Linked DNA regions of Oryctolagus cuniculus. The protein of the gene in region 1 purifies or fractionates together with the protein of each later gene. This does not show direct contact. Links are inferred from orthologs where the notes say so. Each region holds a gene or a part of one and is shown on either strand. Other genes may lie near its edges.

Evidence for each region. Proteins that work in one complex are often made in the same cells at the same time.
Region 2: the proteins of PARP1 (region 1) and XRCC1 purify together in Homo sapiens (affinity purification with western blotting; 9 studies listed by BioGRID and IntAct, with this or other methods). This does not show direct contact. The link is inferred for Oryctolagus cuniculus from reciprocal best matches to the Homo sapiens genes PARP1 and XRCC1.

What each region holds. Positions count from the first base shown.
Region 1 is NC_091444.1:39,037,136-39,043,786, reverse strand, and holds part of PARP1 (poly [ADP-ribose] polymerase 1), read right to left. Parts: intron 5,878-6,651; coding exon 5,762-5,877; intron 4,585-5,761; coding exon 4,370-4,584; intron 2,916-4,369; coding exon 2,816-2,915; intron 727-2,815; coding exon 610-726; intron 1-609. UniProt on the Homo sapiens protein: Poly-ADP-ribosyltransferase that mediates poly-ADP-ribosylation of proteins and plays a key role in DNA repair.
Region 2 is NC_091449.1:12,349,026-12,355,284, forward strand, and holds the end of XRCC1 (DNA repair protein XRCC1), read left to right. Parts: intron 1-1,388; coding exon 1,389-1,482; intron 1,483-1,587; coding exon 1,588-1,720; intron 1,721-1,924; coding exon 1,925-1,976; intron 1,977-2,063; coding exon 2,064-2,203; intron 2,204-3,022; coding exon 3,023-3,113; intron 3,114-3,403; coding exon 3,404-3,479; intron 3,480-3,567; coding exon 3,568-3,681; 3' UTR 3,682-3,772; downstream 3,773-6,259. UniProt on the Homo sapiens protein: Scaffold protein involved in DNA single-strand break repair by mediating the assembly of DNA break repair protein complexes. Negatively regulates ADP-ribosyltransferase activity of PARP1 during base-excision repair in order to prevent excessive PARP1 activity.

The DNA of each region.
Region 1 (6,651 bases):
GCTTGCCTGGGGCTCTTGAACTTGCCCCCTGGGCAGCTGGTTTGCTAGGGGGCTTGGGTTCTTGGGTTTTCAGAGACCCATCTCTAAGTGAAGTGTTCCTTCACCTTCCCCATCCCTCAGATTGGGAAATACAGGGAGAGCCCAGAGCATGCCCTGGTCCTGCACAAGGTACCAAGGCAACCTCAACTCCAGAGGAGGAGGGCAGGGAAGAAGCAGCTGGGGAAATGCTGGGACCCTGGCATACCACCTTGCAGAAGGGTCTCTTTCCCTCCACAAGCCTTGCAGCCCCAGGGAGTTTGGGCAGAAGGCAGCTGAGAGTGCTACTCAGGCCAAAGTATGTGGTATGACCATTCAAGGCAAACATGGCCCACTCTAGCCCCCAGCAGAATTCCACAGCAAGTGTCAACATGAGAAATGTCTGGTAGGGCCTGTCCCAACTGCCCCTGGGGAAATGGTGACCACAATGGCAGTGATGACTGTACAACATGACCACCGAGGTTTTACTCCTCGCAGCTAATACCAGTAGGTGTTCAAACGGAGGGCCTCGCATATTCCATTAGGACAGTCGGCCTCACAGGCGTGTCCCGCTCTAACACTAAGGCCGCTCACCGCCGACTCCCCGGAAGGCACTTGCTGCTTGTTGAAGATGAGCAGCTCTTTCAGGTCATTGGTCGAACATACTTTCTTTAGTTCATCCTTGATGTTCCAGATCAGGTCGTTCTGGGCCTAGGGACAAGACCCAGCAGCTGAGTGAGAGGCCTCTCTTTTCAACTGAAGGAAGAGTATACCCCTGGACATGCCTGGCCTCAAGCACACACCAGAGGATTAGCTGAACTGACTCTCCCGAAAAGACGGTCTGAGCAGTAGATTTTAAGTCCTTGCCATGCTCCAGCAGGTCTCAAATTGAATATGAAGCATGGGCTCTCAAAGAGTTGTGCAAGGTGGGGAAGAAACCATTAACAAGTGTGGGGAAGGACGTAACAAAGTCACCAAAGCCCCTGGAATGCATCCCTCAGAAACCAAGCCCACAAGACACACAGGGGCCTGTAAGTGCTAAATGGCCCACATGTGTCGACCACCAATAGCCAGAGGCCAAAGGAGGTAGGGTGTGCCTGTTCTCTGTCAATCTTTTCTTATTTGAAAGGCAGAGACAGATAGACAGACACACACAAAGGATATCTACAGAGAGCCTCCATTAGCTGGTTTATTTCCCAAATGCTACCACCAGCTGGGACTGGGTCACACCAAAATAAGACTCCATCTGGGTCTCTCACATGGCTGGAAGGAACCCAAGTATGTGAGCCTAACCTGCTGCCTCCCAGGGTGCACATTAGCAGGAAGCTGGAACTGGGAGCAGAGCCAGGGCTAGAACCCAGGCACTCCAATATGGCATGTGGGTAGCCCAGGTGGTGTCTTAACTGCTTTACCAAATGTCTGCCCCTCTACCAATTTGACAGTAGGAATGATTCCGAACACTAATTTCTTAATAGTGTATCAATTCAGTACCATGCAGGGACACATTTAAGTTCTCCTGAAAAAGGACTTTTAAGTTTTTAATGTCTATGAAGGGCCTGCTCTTTGTTGTGTACTTTGACAGGTCACCTCACTTACTCTCACAAGTGCCTGGCTGGGAAGAGCATGGGCCTCCCCATCTTAGAGTGGAGGCCAGGGGGTCTCCTCTCTCTGTAGGACTCACCCTCTTGGCCTCAGATTCCCTCCATGTGAAAAAATGGAGACGAAAATGCCAACCCTATGATACCCACAGACTCACCATCAGCACCAAATGAACACTGACTCAAAGCTGCAGTCACTCACATTTGCGCCTGTTTCCCAGCTCCACTGTTAGGGACTCAACAATCTCCCCTGCCCTCCTCCTCCTCCCTCAGCACATGGTGGGACACCCTGCACTTCAAGGAAGTCCTGGGTACAAGGTCAAATGCAAGTGGAATAACTCCTGAACCTCCAACACCAGATGAGCCAGCAGAAACAGAGGTGCAAGCGTGGGGAAGCACTTTGAGTTTCTTTCTTTCCATCTCTGACAACATCAGGGAGAGAGCACAGGGACTGAAGGGCAAATGCACTATGGGCTGTGGCTCTACTGCAGCCAGATGTGATGCAGAGCGGACATTTTTATTCCCCATAACACAAATCTGTGATTCTTTTGTAAGAATCACGTGCTAATTTTCATACCACAAGCAAAACCTGAGTACTCATACCAGAGACAAGAGCACATGGCTCATGGAAATCATGGTCCTCAGAGACTGACTTCTGACTGTTTGCCCCTACTTTCTCCAACACCCAGCATTTTCTGACTGATAATTTTCACACTGCTTCACCACCTGTAGCATAATCAATACCATGATGACTCTCCTTGGTCAATGGTTATCGACTGAACAGTCTTCTCCCCTGTTACCATTATCCCTTTTACTTTTAAACAAGAGATCTTCATTGTAAAAACGTGGGAAATCTACCTCTTCAGGCAATCTGTCTATGCTAAGAATCTCTGGCTTCCTTGAATTCAACATTTGGCCTCCAGTGTATGCAAGAGACCTGGCAGGTGCTGCCATCTCCACCATCCTGAGGTGAGGCAGGGGAGAGGGGACAGGGTGCCAGTGCCTGCCTGGGCCTGGCTATAGCTCTGGCACCCATAGCCCAATGCATATTCTCTTCTGAGGGAAGAGGAGGGAAGCAAAACAAGCTGGGGCAAAGTCAGGCTACCTAGTGACAGCTGTGATCTTGGCAGGTCCTAGTGAGTGGGACACACTTCCCTGAATTTTCTTGCTAGAAGTTACAGAACTGAGACCACAGAACTTACCTTGAGGGCCTTTTCAAGCTTACTCTCCTTGTCTTTTTCTTTTTTAGATTTTTTCTTGGCCACTTCATCCATTCCATCCACCTCATCCCCTTTCCTTTTTCTGCAAGAGACATGGGATGTAAGACAAAGACCCAGGGCCGGAACAACTCAGGCACCCAACATGTAAGCAGGACGGAGTATTTTAAGACCTGTTGGGCCCTGCTCACTCTCACCAGTGCCCTCACCCCACATGCATCCTGCTCAGTGCTCTTAGGAGCTCACTGTCTCTCCTTGGGCAGCACCTGCAACCACCAAGGCAGGAGACTTTATCTATTTCAGAAGAAAATCTACCAGTTGAGCAAGGGGGCTGTGGGTTGCTCCAGGGCCTTGGAACAAGATCCAAGGCTCAAGAGCCATCGATGTCAAAAACCCCATATTGTTTCTTGGCTGGAACAAAGAAAGCAGGAGGTAAGCCCACTCAAGCACCAGAACGGAGCCTTCTGAGCTCAAAACACAGGGCTGCCCCCAAGGCCAAGGAGCTGTTCTCAGAGGCTGGGCCACACTGCTCAGAAGCAGAAGCAGTCAAAGTCGGAGCCTTGCTAACTAGCCATTCTGCCCAGCAGTTAAGACACAGCCTCAGCTGGCATGCAGGCCTGGGTTCACCTCACCCACAAAATAAGGAAAAGGCTGCCACTGACTTTTGAGGATCGCGGTGATGGGCAAATGCAACAGCCCAAGCATAGCACCCATCAGACGTGCTCAGCACACTCTGGCCACTATGGCAGGAGAGTGGCTCATGAACTGCGGCACACGTCACGTGCTGCAATGCCCCAGGGACTTTCCATTTTCTCACTCATCCCACTGTCACTTCAACAATCTGTGTGCTGTGAATTGAAAAGACGTTACGAAGGCTGCTCCATGACGGTGGTCCGGTTGCTGTCCAAGCAGCACAGGGCACACGACCCTGCCACACTGCGCAGTGTGCTTGTTTGCAAGCACCTCTAGGTCAGGGCCAAGGAGCCCGCACAGGGTCCACGGGAAGGACTAGGCAGTGACCACAGACTGAAGACCCTCACTGATGATCCTTCCCATCCTAAATGAAAACATCACAAGAGATCTGTACCATCCCCAACTCCAAGCCAGGAACTTATTACCCATGGTCCACTCTGCATTTAAAAATGGCTGAGACTTTCCCAGCACCATTCCTAGAGACCGACACACAGGAACACAATTCACACGCACTCCTGTGAAGGTGGGTCATGAGTGGGTTGGAGGAAATGTGGTAGCTGCCCCAGGCAAGGGGAAAACTCAGACTGGGAAGCAGACCTTCGAGGGGAGTGGGCTCTTGGCAGGGGCTACAGCTATAGGAATAGGCACTGGATGCTCCCTGCAGTCTTCCTCTATCCTGCCCCCTACTCCCACAGCTCTGCTCTCACGGCCCTCAGCCTGCCTCTCCCTGGCTTTCTGACAGTCAGCAAAGGGACGCAGGAGAGCTGTGAAATCTGGAGGGCTCTTGGGGCCCCCAAGGCCCCTCACCAATCCCCAGAGCCCCCAGGCCCCCTGTGCTCTACCTACCCTTCACTCTTGACCCCCGGGAGCTGCTTCTTCAGGGCCTCTTTATCCTCTGCAGAGAGAAGGCTGAAGCCCTTGAGCTGACTTGCACTGTACTCGGGCCGGAAACCCAGCTCCTCCCTGTTCTTGACAAAGCAGTTCGGGTGGTACCAGCGGTCGATCATGCCCAGCTGTGGCTTCTCTGGGTCCAGCATCTTCTTGGAAAGGCGCACCTGACCCTAAGGGGGAAAGCACGTGTAGTTTCTAGGGAATGACATGGCAGGAGGGTAAACATCAGGGGCCAGGCTCCACACCAGCCAGTGAGGGGTCGTGGTCCAAGCCAAGACTCTGCCAGCAACTCAAAGGCCATGGCAGGTCATGGCTCTCCTGTGCCCCCCAGGACTGTGCACCACTCTCAACCTCAGCACCTACATCTTTAATAGGGGCAATTCCAAATTATGCTGTTGGCCTACCTGCCTGGACACAGGAGAACTTCCCCGACCTGGGGCAGGCACAGGAAAACCTGACATGGTACACTGGGCAGAGCCAGTTTTTTTTTTGCTCATTCCCACTTTCTCATGGACAATTTGGACTGTACACTTAGGAAGCCCCCCTATGACTCAGTAATAAATCCAAAGGCAAGAACCCAGTCCTGCAATGATCAGGCCTGGGGTTCCTGCAAGTTTCTCGTCAGAGAACTCAGAGCATGGGGCTGCTGCTGCTCTCCCTAACTCATGCCAGGCAGCGCCCGGCACTGCCAGGCAAGGGAAGAGGACCGTCGTTCTTGCCCCACAGTTTTGGTGGTTGGAAACGGCTGGAGAAGATCTAGCAGTTCCACGGTTTTCTCACTGGCTCAACTCGATTTCCTGCACAACACCCTTGAGGAGGCAGCAACTCTCCATCAACGCCGTAAGTGAATCAATTAGTATTTGGATGTAACATCAGAGGAGGGTGAGAAGGCTGGAGGGCACGGGTCTTCCCTCTGCCTGTGTCTCCGCTCCTTGGACGGCCCCCATTCCATCTCACTGGCTGTCAGCCTTCAGGGACGAGAATTAGTGGGGACGGTAATGAAGTTCCTCTGAGTAGATTAAAGAAAGCTGGAGACTCACACCAGGGAAAACACTCACTTAACCCTTCCAGGACACAAACAGCCTTCCTCCCCACCACTGCTGGGTCTAAAGGAGGCCCAGACTCTCCCAGTGTCCTCCGGGTGGGTGGATGGAGCCACACACACAGCACTGGACCAGGAGTAAGCAGTGCCAGGCTTGTCTGGAAGAAGAGGCATTGTCATCTCCAGCCTCTACTAAGATCCTCATACTTAGCTGCTTATGTTGAGCTAAAGCCCTACTTGAGACAGCCAGCAACATTCAATGTGAGTGATTCGCAAAGTGAGACCCCGGGGCCCTGGGCTCTCACCTTTTCTATCTTCTCCATGCACCCCTTGCATGTGCTTCTGTTGGACTTGGCGTACTCGGCTGCAAAGTCACCCAGCGTCTTCTCTGTTTTGCTGCCGGTTCCATCCTGGCCTTTGCCTTAAGAGTCAAACACACAGCGATGCCCATGTCAGCCATCCCAGAGCACCACAGCTGCTGAAACACCCATCCTCCTCCTCACAAGGACCCTCCCACTAGGCCACCTTGAGCTCTGGGCAACTGCAACTGGTCTCATCTCCGTCTGGAACCACCCCGGTCTGTCACTAACGCGTTCTTCCTGGCAACATGGTGACTTTCCTCAGACAAGCTCTCTAAAACACCACCACGCTAGCTGCTGGCCAGCTGTCCGGCCTTCCTGTCCTCCAATTTCTCTGGAGTGCCCCCTCCACTTTGGGAAGTACTACGTATGTGCTGACTATAAAGCTCTGGCACCATACTAAACACCCCCCTTCTAACTTCCATTATGCTGTATCGATGCAACATGTTTTACCAAAAGGAGATCAGACACAAATGTACAATAGACTTGCACAGGTGCTAAAAGAGCCGTTTCAGACTAGTGGGGAAAGGCTGAGTCATTCAACAGGGTTAGGAGGATAACTGGCCAATGACCTGGGACACGAGCTAGATTATCTTATTACATAAAAATAATTTTCGGGTTGAATGTTTCTCCCCTAAGATCAGGAATGAGACAAGGCTGTCCCTCTCTTCTCTCTTTCACTTAACACTGTAGTAGAAGTTTTGGAACATTAAGGCAAGAAAAATAAATAAAAAAGAACTAAATGTAGAAAAAAAATCAAGCAAAACCATTTCTATTAGCAAATAATATGATTGTAAACATGGATGCTTAGGAGGCTACCAAAAAGCTACCAGAAC
Region 2 (6,259 bases), on another chromosome or scaffold:
CCGGTTGCCCCTCTTCCAGGCCAGCTCTCTGCTATGGCCAGGGAGTGCAGTGGAGGATGGCCCAGGTGCTTGGGCCCTGCACCCCATGGGAGACCAGGAAAAGCACCTGGCTCCTGGCTCCTGCCATCGGATCAGCGCGGTGCGCCGGCTGCAGCGGCGGCCATTGGAGGGTGAACCAACGGCAAAGGAAGACCTTTCTCTCTCTCTCTCTCTCACTGTCCACTCTGCCTGTCAAAAATAAAAAAAAAAAAAAAAAAAAAAAAAAAGAAAAACAACTGCTCGAAGGGTGACTCCTGGTGGGTGGCTCCCCTTGTTTCAATCACAAATTGGGCTTTTAAACACTTCGAGGGACAAGTGTTTGATGGCTGCATCCCATGTCGAAGTGCCTGGGTCATGTCCTGGCTGCTGCACTTGCCATCCGGCTTCCTGCTGATGCCCCCTGGGAGCACAGATGATGGTCAGGTAGCTGGGCCCCTGCCATTGACATAGGAGACCCAGATTGAGTTCTGGGTCCCTGGCTTTGCACGTGGACCAGCCCTGGCTGGTGTGGGCATTTGGGGAGCTGACCAGCAATGGAAGATCCCTCCCTCTCTCAAATAAAATGAAAATAAATCTTAAAACTCTTAAAATCTTTGCATACAAAGCACCGGGAAGAAAAAGGTCCAGTCAGCTGCTCCCGGGAGCCTCTTGTCGCAATGAGCAGGACTTCCCTGAGCAGTGGCCACCAGCTTGGGAACCACCCAGGCCTGTGGCAGGCTCTTCCTGTGTGACCCAGGAGGCCGCCCGCCTGTTGTCTGCTGCCGCCTGCTTTGGCCATCTCTCAGTGCCCCGGCTTCCTCACCTCTAAAGTGGAGCTGGAAATGATGCCCGCTGAGGGCCAGGGATGACCCCACGTTTGTCACACGCTGAACACACTGCCACAGGCCGGCGGGTGCCGCGGGTGTGAGCCCGCGCCCTGGGAGCCGGGAGCTCGGCGTGAACACACTGCCACAGGCCGGCGGGTGCCGCGGGTGTGAGCCCGCGCCCTGGGAGCCGGGAGCTCGGCGTGAACACACTGCCACAGGCCGGCGGGTGCCGCGGGTGTGAGCCCGCGCCCTGGGAGCCGGGAGCTCGGCGTGGGTCTTTGAAGTGTCTTTGCTGGCAGGAGTCCTCAGGAGAAGCCGACTTTGGCTCCCAGAGGGAAAGTGATTTCCGTCTGGTTTTCCCTTTCTAAAACGGGACGAGGAGGGAGGCGAGGGAGGACGCCCGGGGCCTGGATGGGCAGCTGGACAGCAGGGGTCTGTGGAGCGGGCAGGCCAGGAAAGAGGCCCCGAGCGCCTGCCGGATGCGGGGCTCCTGCCGCCCCAGCGGCCTCGTGCCTCCCTCCGGACTCCACATCCCGCCCCCAGGTACCTCATGGCAGGACCCAGCTCCAGCAGCGAGGACGAGGGTGGCTCTCACAGCGGCGGCAGTGGGGACGAAGCCCCCAGGCTTCCCCGGAAGGTTTGACCAAGGCCCTGCCAGTGGGGAGGGGGACAGGGAGTTACGTGGTTGCCCCAACTCCCCACCCCAGCCCCCCACATACCCACACTGCCCCTCCTTCCTCAGCGTCCCCAGACCAAAGCCAGGCCCCCTCAGGCAGCTGGACCCAGCTCACCCCAGAGGCCTCCAACCCCCAAAGAGACCAAAGCAGCCTCACCCGCTCCCCAGGATGACACAGACACTGAGGGGGAGCCGTCAGGTCAGAGTCCGAGGGAGGAGGGCTGGGGCCGGGGCCCCTGGGTCCGAGGGAGGAGGGCTGGAGATCCAGACTCCCGTGTGTAAGGGGAGAGGGGTCTGGGGGGTGGGTGGCGGGTCACCAGATGCCAGGCGGCGAGGTGGGGAGAGGGCTCCAGCCTTGCAGAAGACACAGCACCTCCTGGCACTCACCGACTCCCACTCGCAGGACAAGACGATGGGGCCGAGGATTCTGGGGACACGGAGGACGAGCTGAGGAGGTAGGGCCGGGCTGGGGTCAGGGCCGGGCTCCAGGGCTGCGGGGCATCTGCCCCACCTGCTCACCCGCACCCCCTCGGCTTCCCCAGGGTGGCGGAGCAGAAGGACCAAAGGCGGCCCCCTGACCAGGGCGAGAACGGCGAGGACCCGTACGCGGGCTCCACTGACGAGAACACGGACAACGAGGATGAGCCGGAGCCGCCCGACCTGCCAGTTCCTGAGCTCCCAGGTGGGGCTCCCTCCGTCCCTGCTGCGGGCCGGTGCCGTCCGTTCTTGCCTTGACCCGGCCCAGCCAGTCCGGGGGTCACTTCACTGCTGGCTCCCTCTTCCTCCTCGGCCGCCTCCAGGCCTCTTCCCTGTCCCTGTGGCTTACCCATGACATCCCCTTTTGTCCCCACCCCCTCTGCCTCCTCCCCTCCAAGCCCAGTGCCAGGGGTGACCCCTTGGACATGTCCCCCAGGTGAGTGGCCGCCTGGGCTGGTGCTTCACCCACCCCCCGCAGGTGCACCTGTCGGGTGGGGGGACACGGGCACCGCTGTCCATTGGAACCTCGGTGGGCATGCCTGTTCACTTTAACACTAGTCATCATCCTGGACCAGTGGCCACGGGTGTGGCGGGGGCAGGAGCCAGAGCCTCCTGGGTGGAGGGGAGGCCCAGGCCACTGAGCAAACTTGGCAGCTGGCTCCTCATGGGTGAGGGGTGCGCTGTACTCTGATTCTCCAGAGCCCCCAGGTAGCATCAGTCGGTGGCCTGGGAAGTCACGGGAATGGAGAGGAAGGAAGCCACCCGGGGGTGGGCGAGAGGACGCTGCCTGGGGAGGAGGGAGCCCCAGAGGTGGGTGCAGCGTGGTTCTGGGCTCGCCAGCAGGGGCCCGGGATCGCGCCTTCCCTCCAAGCAGAGAAGCAAACCAGCAGCCTCCGGGGGGCGCTGTTGGGCTGGGCACCACTGCCTGCCGCCCCGTTTGGGCCCAGCGTTCTCTGGCTCCTGGCCGGTGTCGTGGCACTGGTGGGGGCGGGGGCTCACGCTGCCTCTTCTCCGCCTCTCGCAGACTTCTTCCAGGGCAAACACTTCTTCCTGTATGGGGAGTTCCCCGGGGACGAGCGGCGCAAGCTCATCCGATACGTCACCGCCTTCAACGGGTCAGTCTCCAGAGGGTGGGAGGGCGCAGGGTCGTGGTGGGAGGAAGAAGCTGGGGAGGGGGAAGGGCCGTAGTCCACAGGGGGCGCGAGCCGTGGAGCGCAGGGCCCGCGCTGTCCACAGCTGCAGTCCTGCGTGCGGTGCTTCCCTGTCCTCTGCTCTGAAGGGCCGCTGTCACTGACCGGCCGCACCGGCCTCTGGGAGAACGCGGGCTCCGCCAGCAGGGGGCAGAGGGTGGGAGGAGGAGCCCGCGGCTCCCGGCCCCGCCCACAGCCTCTCCCCCACCCGCCAGGGAGCTGGAGGACTACATGAGCGACCGCGTGCAGTTCGTGATCACGGCACAGGAGTGGGACCCCAGCTTTGAGGAGGTGAGTCCTAGAGGGGCAGACAAGGGGGGCCTCATTGTCCTGCAGCCCTCCCTTCCGGAACCCCATCCTCCCCCTCTCCCACCCGCAGGCCCTGATGGACAACCCGTCCCTGGCCTTCGTCCGCCCCCGCTGGATCTACAGTTGCAACGAGAAGCAGAGGCTGCTTCCGCACCAGCTCTACGGGGTGGTGCCCCAGGCCTGAAGAGTGCGGGGCACACGCGCACACACGTACATACACGCACATGTGCACACGCACACGGGAGGTGGGCTTAATAAAGACGACTTGGTTTGCAGCACCTGCCCCTTGGCACACAGGAGTCCCCCACGCCTGTCTCCTCTCCCCCGTGGGGCCAGGAGGAGATGGCCCCTCCGTCTGGGGGGGCAGGGCTCTGCCTGTTCTCCCCGGCCCCACCGCCCGTGTGGGAGAGCAGGGAGCTGAGAATCTGATGGTGCCGCAGCCCAGGGAGCCTGTCCTGCCACCCGGTCCTCCCGCCGTGGACCGTGGGCTGGAGGCCTGGACGGCTGGACGCCCGGGAGGTGTGCTGCTCTCCAGGGGCCTCCCCTTTGCCCCAGGGCCTCCAGAAGCCGCCGGGGGCATCACCAGTGTGGTTTCACCTCACCTCATTTAGGAGGTGGGTGGGAGGGGGGCCCTTCAAGGCTCTACCAGTTCCAAGTGAGAGCTGAGCTGTGTCAGGCAAGCAGGCAGGGGCCGCGGCATGTGCAAAGGCCAGGGGGCGGGAAGCAGCCCAGGGCAGCTGGTGGAGGACTGCTGCCCTCTGTTTCAGGGGCACGTTCAGCGGGAGCGGGCCCAGTCCTCGCAGCTGTGCCGTCCCGGGCAGCAGACACAGACACCCGGCTGGGTAGTTTTGTCTGAGAGGCAGGGAAGCAGTGGGCAAAATGAGCTCCCATCGCCGGCGCCACGGCTCACTAGGCTAATCCTCCACCTGTGGTGCCAGTACTCCGGGTTCTGGTCCCGGTTGGGGTGCCAGGTTCTGTCCTGGTTGCCCCTCTTCCAGGCCAGCTCTCTGCTGTGGCCAGGGAGAGCAGTGGAGGATGGCCCAGGTGCTTGGGCCTGCACCCCATGGGAGACCAGGAGGAAGCACCTGGCTCCTGGCTTTGGATCAGTGCAGTACAGCGGCCGCAGTGGCCATTTGGGGGGTGAACCAATGGAAGGAAGACCTTTCTCTCTGTCTCTCTCTCACTAACTCTGCCTGTCAAAAAAAAAAAAAAAAGAGCTCCCACCTGCTGGTTTACTCCCCAGATGGCTGCAGTGGCCGGGGCTGGGACACTCCCTGTCTCCCACATGGGCGTCAGGGCCGTTACCTGAGCCGTCAGCGTTGCCTCCAGGTCTGTAGTAGCAGGAAGCTGGAGTCGGGAGCCAGACTCGGGAAGGGCACCAGGCACTCCGGTGGGGGCACCAGCATCTGGAATGCTAGGCTAATCAGCTGCCCCACAGGTGACCATTTACCTCATGTGAGATGAACTCCATTCCTTGGGTCACACCGGCCATGGTGGCTCCCCGTCCCTGAGGGGCTGTCCTGAAGGGCCGTGAGCACCAGGCCGGGGGCTGAGCAGAGCCAAGGCCAGGGTCAGAGCTGGGCTGAGATCTGACCTCTGGGGAAACTTCTTGGGCCGTCCCAGCCCCTGTACCCCTGTGCCGCCTCAGCCAGAGGCCAGCGGCCTGGCTCCGTGCACGTGTTCGTTCCTGCACACATGGACGGGCCACTCCTGTTAGCATGTGCTGTGATGTCACAGGTGTGTGGCTCGAGACAGCAGACACTGGTCATCTAGCAGGTCCTAAGGGCAGAAGTTTGACGTGGACTTCGCTGGGCTGATAGTCCGGGCGTGGGCAGGGCTGGGTCCCTTCCAGGGAGTCTGCTCTCCCTCTCCCACACCCCTCCCGTATTCAAGGCCAAGGACAGGCAGACTCCTCCCTCTCAGCCCTCCACATTGAGACCTGTGTTTACGTTGGGCCCAGCTGGACCTGGTACGTGTCAAGGTCTGCTCAGTAGCAGCCTTCATTTCCTTCTTCTGCCTATGTCTCTGCCACGTGACGGGTCCCCAGGTTCCGGGGATGATGTGAGCGTGTGTGGGAGGCCCTCCCTCTGCCTGTCACGCCTGCCCCGGGAGAGATGACAGTCCCTGACCTCATGGGGCTGACACTGCTGGGGGCAGACCCTGGGAGATGCAGTGGGAGCCGATAAGGCAGGGCAGGGGCAGGGTGGACTAGGTGGGCCTTGGGAAGGCCTCTCAGAAGACCCGCCCCCTCTGCAGGGACCTGGCAAAAGGGAGGGAGACTGGGAGCTGCCTTCCAGGCCCAGGAAAGTGAGTGCAGGGCCCTGGGGCAGAAGTGCCCTGGCTGTTCACGGAGCAGCAGGACTCGCACTCTGCCCCTGCCCCATTACCGGCTTGTGTGTCAGTCTCTTCCCTCTGGCCTCACTTACCCCTGCACAAAGCAGGATTGAGTCAGATCGTCTCTCTAGTGAGTGCATCCTGGGAACTTGGAGCAGCTGTCCCAGGACAGCTCCCGGAGAAACACAGTTGCCAGTGGCACTGCTGGGTTGGGCGCAGGGGGTTGGGTCCTTGCCCTCCTGAGCGGGGCTTCCCCTTGCCGGCTCTGGTCTCCCCCATGAGCTGGGTGCCTTCCACAGACTCTCCCTGCGTCTACCACACTCAGATTTCGGCTGAGCATGGCAGCCTTGGGAAGGCCTTTCCCAGCCTCTCCTGTGGCACGCGTTCCCAGGATCTGGCTGCCAGCCCCAGCTCTGTTCATGCTCGAA